Oryzias latipes: one gene and its partner. The protein of the gene in region 2 interacts with the protein of the main gene of each other region in a biochemical or structural test. Links are inferred from orthologs where the notes say so. Each region holds a gene or a part of one and is shown on either strand. Other genes may lie near its edges. The genes, in order: grk6 and beta-2 adrenergic receptor.

What was found.
Region 1: the proteins of beta-2 adrenergic receptor (region 2) and grk6 form a complex in vitro, tested with the Homo sapiens proteins (2 studies listed by BioGRID, with this or other methods). The link is inferred for Oryzias latipes from reciprocal best matches to the Homo sapiens genes ADRB2 and GRK6.

What each region holds. Positions count from the first base shown.
Region 1 is NC_019872.2:29,855,850-29,858,419, reverse strand, and holds the end of grk6 (G protein-coupled receptor kinase 6), read right to left. Parts: intron 2,089-2,570; coding exon 1,954-2,088; intron 1,727-1,953; coding exon 1,676-1,726; 3' UTR 633-1,675; downstream 1-632.
Region 2 is NC_019868.2:20,753,262-20,757,736, forward strand, and holds the start of beta-2 adrenergic receptor, read left to right. Parts: upstream 1-1,525; 5' UTR 1,526-1,698; intron 1,699-1,957; coding exon 1,958-3,205; 3' UTR 3,206-4,475. UniProt on the Homo sapiens protein: Beta-adrenergic receptors mediate the catecholamine-induced activation of adenylate cyclase through the action of G proteins. The beta-2-adrenergic receptor binds epinephrine with an approximately 30-fold greater affinity than it does norepinephrine.

The DNA of each region.
Region 1 (2,570 bases), on a different chromosome or scaffold from region 2:
GCCACAAACATAAATCTGGTCAAGATTGTTCAGATGAAAGAACAGAAAGTTAGTCACAAATTGTTTTTTGGAATTTAGCTAATAGTGAAATAAACATAGTTTTGTTTTTCAAAGGTGAATTGAAAGTAAAGACGTTTTTATCGCTTCAAATCTCAGACAGAAAGTCCCAAAGACAGATTTCTGCCTTCACATCTATTTTGTTAAATTATCATTCAAGCTGGGAATCATCTACGAGAGACACGACTAAACTGTCCACAAGCTACAAGGGGGACCTAGAACGGGACCCTGAGGAACACCACAAGTCAGTGCTCTTGGTTCTGATGTCTTGAAGTTGGGTCATGACATCTGGACTTCCAATCTTCTTTGGTTCTGATGTGTTTTGCCAGTTTTGTATGAATGACAATTTTTCAGTGTTGTGTTGCCATGGTAACACAAGACCTCCACCCACTAGTGGGCGGAGCCACATTCAAAGAAAAGTCAAAGATGTTTCTCTTTTTCTCTCCTTCTGTAATCCCACAGTTTTACTTTTTACGCCTATCTGGTTTTTAATTTGCAGATCTTGAAATCTGCTTGGAGGAAAGACCTCACATCAGACTGACTTCATGAAAAATAAACCACCATCTTGACAGACGTCGTTCTGAATCAGTTCCGTTTATTTCTGACTCCAACAAACAACCAATTTTTAGGGAGTTTAGCAGACAAACATTTAACTCATTTAGGAGAAAAGAAGAACATTTTCTACAATTCCAAAGTGGTTACAATCCAGACCTTTCCATAAACGTGTCTCATTGGAATCATTCTCAACAGCTCACGTGGAAGAGGTCCTCTCCATCCTGACTGGAGACGCTCGGCTCACCTGCCTGGAACCCAGGTATGTTTGAGACTCGTGTTTCCTCATCATTGCATAGGTTCTGATCCCTGCCCTTAAACATAAACAGGTGAGGAGGAGTTAGTGACTCAGGAACGACGTCGGACCGCGCTGGGTCCACGTCACAGATTTATTTCGGGACTGGCGTCCGTCGTCCCCATGAGCAGCTTCAGACTCGGCTAATCTGGTTCCTGGTGATCCGAGCTTTGATGAAGCGTCTTTGGATGAGGAGTGAGACCAGAACAAGAATCTGGAGTCTCTGCACCTGAATCTGACCCCAGATTTCACCTTTTACACATGTTTAGTTTTGGTTCTGGTTCTGTTAAAGCCTGAGTGGTCTCTGTAGACCGCTACTGGGTGGCTCCACTTAGATACATAGAAAAGGCACAACGGTTCAGCCCAGATCTGATCAGGAAAACTCCAGAACTCCGAGGCTGAACAGATGGATTGTCTCCAGAAAACCATTATATCAAAAATTCACAAAAACTGGCTAAAAACTGAAAAACAGTTGCAGCAAAAAGAGTGGAAAAAATGCAGCAAGTGGAGGGGCTGATGAGGGTGTCCTGCCACTGTGCCCTCGAGCAAGGCACTTATACAGCAGGCGCTTGGTCCAGAGTGGGAGAAAAGAGCGAGGCCTTCCCGAAACACGGAAGCCAACCATAAAAAAGGATTTCCTTATTTTCATTCTTAAATAACTTTAAAAACTGCTGTTCCGCTGGAGGTTTACATTCTGACATCCAGCGATGGAACGACCCAAAAATACAAATGTGCAAAAGTTGTAAACAAAAGGTGGCGAGCGCCAGTCTGTCACAGCCGGGTGGGCTCCTCCTCGCTGTCGCTGCAGTTACCACAGCAATCCTGCAGGAGGAGTAAGAGAGCACATCATATCCCAGTTTTCTTAGTGAAGGTCAACACTCTGAAAGCTTTCCCCAACCAAAGCTCCTCCCCCAAGCAAAACTCTAAAGGCTCCTCCCCCAACAAACCTCTGAAAGCTCCTCCCCCAACCAAACCTCTGAAGGCTCCTCCCCCAACCAAACCTCTGAAGGCCATCATGATGCTACTGTAACTGCCACCTGCTAACTCACCTGTCTTCCAAAGAGCCGCTGTAGCAGCCCCTGTTTAGGGGGTGGAGACGGCTGACCCCTCCAGTCCAGGTCGGGGGGAACGACGCCGTCCTGGTGGAAAACATTCAGCTCAAAGAAACACTCCGTCTCGATCATCTGCAGGAGAAACAAAAAACTCCATCTGCACTTCAGCAAAACAGCTCGGACCTTTTTGTTAAGTTAATCAACTAAAGTCTGAAATGTAGAAACTCTTTTTAGAAGTTTGACTGTAGCCATGAGGGGCCCAAGCAAGTCTCCCTGTGCTGAGAGTACAGACTTTGAATGTGGGAACAGGAAAAGGTAGCTAGTTCAAAGTTTATATGTTTAGCACTTTTACAACACAAAGTACTCAAAGTGCTTTACATGATGACATTTAAAAACAAAAGGACAAGACAAACATATATGTCGTTAAAAACTGGCACAATAGCACCCCCCCCCCCCACACACACACACACACACACACACATATATACTCACTTGCTGTATAAAAGCTAGCTAAAAGTTAGTGGACATGATGCAGAGCAGGAAGGTAGACATGCTGTGTGTACAGGAGACCAGGTGGAACGGTAACAAGGCCAGAAGCTGAGGAGCAGCGCTCA
Region 2 (4,475 bases):
ATTTCTTCTATATACTAACAAACAGGCAAGATGACCATGCCATAAGAATGGTCACTTTGCCAATGGTAATTTAGGTCACACATTTACGTCATCTCATTGTTCACCTTGTGACTGTAAAAAGATGAAACACCTTGATAAATGTCAAAGTGTATTCCCATGAAGGATTTCTTCTAAATGAGGGCTCAGACATATGGCATCTCTTATCTTTAATCTTGTCATGCCTTGAAAATCCACCACGAAACACCAGGTTTTGGTTTCTATGGTTGGTGTTAATGCAGGTATATAATCCAAAAAACGTCAAGCATCCTCTATTTAATCTCAGGAGTGGAACTGTCTTTGGATTTTTTCCAAACCACGTACGCTCTAATCTATCTAATGTGCGTAGAAGAAAATTATGCAATTCAAGATTTTGCGCAATTGAGCAAAAATCTTTGTGATCTTTAAGCAAAAAATCAGCGGTAAAAAACACATTACAACAGTCTCAAACATTTGCAAAAATCTTTGTTGTTTTCTTTTTCTGTAGTTTGTAAACCTTTTAAGACCTGTAACCTAAAAGGATAAATAAAATGTGCACGTTTATTGATACTTGCACATTTAATACACCTTCGAGAAAAAATACTTTAAAAAAAGGCTGAAGTACAAAAGTGTCACAAAAGATTAGGTTAAAGGGTTAGGATTGAGGGTATTGGATCATTTTATTACAGAATCATTTTTAAAAAGAGATATATTAACTTAAAAGAATTCAATAAGCATTGAAGACTTTCCGTGAAGTGTTTTTACGCATTCACAAACCAAGCAGAACTATCATTGCATTGTTGAAATTTGAATAAATGAGGTTTAGTTTGCATAGATCACATGTATGGAATAAATGTGGTCATAAAAGTGCAAATTTGTTCTTGATCCTCAAAGGCTTTCTTTTAGCTCTTGCTGTGAAGATCACTGCGCCTTTTACGTACCAAAACACTGAGGTCATTTTTACAGTTTGACCTTTGGATGTTAAAATGTAAGCATATGTTCTTGTATTGGCGAAGGTCCTGATTTTTATATAAAAGAGCAGCCTACAAAACTCAAAGGTTTTGTCAGGACAAGAAGTGTGTTAAAGCTCCAATCCAACCACTCAATAGATCTTGACAAAATTCACTGAGCTACACTTGCCAGTTGGATCACTTGTGAATCCAGCCTGATCTTACAAATGCTCAAAAAATGCTTTAACTAGTTTTAATTGGATACAGATTCACAAGCATGAAGCTGTAAACTCATACAGGAACATAGCATAACAGGAAGTAGACTTTATGACTCGAGCTGAAATACAGCTCGTAGATTTCAGTACAAATTTGCAGGTTTTTTAAATATGTAAATGTTTGCCTGTGTTGGCTGCCGTATGTCTCATGCAGCCCTGCAGCAGCAGCTGTTGGGACAGTGTGTTCAAACTCCTGTGAGCGCTCAGCACCCTCCACAGGCTAGTGCGCTGATTGGCTGAGCTCTGACTGTGATGTCACCATTGCATGCTATAAGGACTCTGAGACACATCAGAGGAAACACTGCTCAACGGAACGACTTGGTAGAGAGACAACTGGAGCTCAACCCGAACAAAAAGTACAGGGGCATGTGAGCCTTGCCAGTCTTACAGGAAGTATTTCAACACTGACATTCTGACATTTTTATGGGAGGCTGGGAGCAAAACAACGACCTGTCGAGGTTGGTATTTTTGCTCTTTCTTGACTCAACTTGTTTTTAAAGCATGGAGCCAAAAAGGTCGTTATGGCTGGTGCCTCTGCTGTGTTTTTTTTAATCTTTTGTTGCTTTGCTTGTTTTTTTGTTTCAGATACAAACATTCATGTTTTAAACTTTATTATTGCTGCATTTATTTAGTTCCCATAAGTTAGATACATGTTTGAATTGTGCACTTCCCCTCTTTTTACTGTGTCTGATGATTTTCTGCATGTGATTTCTTCAGATGGGAGTTACAGTCTCTCCAGTCTACTCGAATGTGAGCACTACGTCATTGTCCAACAACGAGACGGGCCACAACGAGATGGGCCTCAACGAGACAGGCCACAGTGAGACGGCTATGATCCTGATGGGCATCGGAATGTCTTTTCTGGTGCTGTGCATTGTCTTTGGAAACATCCTGGTCATAACAGCAATCGCTCGCTTTCAGCGTCTCCAAACTGTCACCAACTGCTTCGTCACATCTCTGGCGTGTGCAGACCTGGTCATGGGTCTCATTGTGGTTCCCTTTGGTGCTTTAAACATCATCTTCGTTAAATGGCACTTTGGTAAATTCTGGTGCGACTTCTGGACTGCCACAGATGTCCTCTGCGTGACTGCAAGCATCGGGACCCTTTGTGTCATCGCTATTGACCGTTACGTGGCCATTACTGCACCCTTCCGCTACCAGTCACTATTGACAAAGTGCAGAGCTCGAATTGTGGTCATCTTTATATGGGTGATTGCTGCTTTGACATCCTACCCGCCCATTCATATGAACGTGTGGAGATCCAATACATCGGAAGCTGAGAAATGTCTTAATAAAACAGACTGCTGCCAGTTTCACACAAACATACAATATGGAATCACCTCCTCCATCATCTCCTTCTACATCCCTTTGATCATCATGGTTTTTGTCTACAGCCGTGTTTTCCTGGCGGCCAAAAGGCAGCTAAAAAAGATTAACCAAAGCGTTGGACGCTTTCATGTAGATTCTTCGGAGGACAAGAATGGCCGTGGACAAAAGAAGGCAAAGTTTTACTTGCGTGAACACAAAGCCCTGAAAACTTTGGGTATCATAATGGGGACCTTTACTCTTTGCTGGCTACCATTCTTCATCCTTAATGTAATCGCGTCCATATGGAACGTGAACAACTATAGCGTATTTATGATTCTGAACTGGATAGGCTATTCAAACTCTATGTTCAACCCTGTCATTTACTGCCGGAGTCCTGAGTTCAGGTACGCTTTCAAGGAACTCCTGTGCATCAGGAGGAACCATCTGAGCCACCAAGGCCAAACAAATGGATACATCTACAGCAGGCACAGCTGGCAGAGTGAGCAGCAAGGGAGGAGCAAGTGCAACTCGGAGGACAGTGATGCCAATGAGGCTTGTCTGATAAAAGGTGCAGGGGTGGGCAGTGGTGTGGACAGAGCCATAGACCCCAATGGAAACTGCAACAAAGGTATAACGACTGTCACAACTGCCCTTTAAGCACGGACCACCGACCCTTCAGTCAACAGAGAAAGATGAAAGCCTATACACTTATGAACATTTAGGGCTTTTCTCTCAATCGCTGATTAAGGTAAGGCCAGTCAAAGTGGCTGGCAGTGTTTCAAAAGTGTTTCAGAGAACCTGCAACGATCACATCAAGCTGAGGAACATTTTTTTTAAGTTAAACATAGTGACTACATATTGTAATGTATTTTTTTTATTACATGATGACTACATCTACCTCCCTAACGGCTTTACAGTGTTAGTTTCTTTACCGGCTTACATTCTTACCTTTGGAGTTAAACGAGAGCGATGTCTCAGCTGTGTGTTGAGCCTAATAAATGGCGTGTGAATAGTACATTTGCAGATTATAAGGCTTCATCCAAAACCTTAGGGCATGCTTTATTTATTTTTTGCTCTTTCTTGAGGAGGGAAGCCACAGTTTTTTGTATGGTATAAAACTGTATTTGAGATTTTCCATGCGATTTTTCTTCCAATGCAAAGAATGGATTTTTGAACCAGTCTTGGTCTTTGCATCAAAAATTACATTCCGACAACACTTGAGGAATCTATTAAGTTGTAATCTTTTTTTCAGGGAGCTATATTGGCTACGCGTGAGGCAAAACACGTCTCAGTCCTGCTCTACTGTGCAAGACTGTGTTTAAAGGAGTTTATGTTGTCAGCAGAAAGCACAAGAGATATGGCTGGCTAATCTAGATCCTAATGCTGAGCCTAAGGAACGCCTGTAGCTGTTGGGTTAATGCCATCATAAAACATCAAAGCTTGTTTTATCAGATAACGAACCGTAAAATACCTATAATTTTTGGGAGGAACGCTAAGTGCAATAATATAAAACTTGGGCTGAAATGCTCACCGTTTTCATAAATTCAAACATTTCTTTTGGCTTGTTACATATACCTGAACTATGTCTATTTTCCACTTGTTGCAAATCTAAAACCACTTTTTTGTTACAAATAACAGTGAGAACGACGATTCTTTTTCTTCTGTGCGACAAATTTGAACCATAGTTGACCCATAGCTGCATGAGCCTTGTTTGTTTATCAGATTTTGCAGTTGCCATGTTTCAGTATGTGCACAGTTTACCGCAACCAGAGAAGCTGTTTCCTCATAGTGCAAGGGTACAGACAACACGTAATCATAAACAGGGTGTGAATGCAGCCAAATGACAAAGTTCTAGCACCAAGCCATAACGGTGAAGTCAGCAACCAGACAGAAAAAAGAAAAAATCCAAAGCTTGTATTCAGTACAC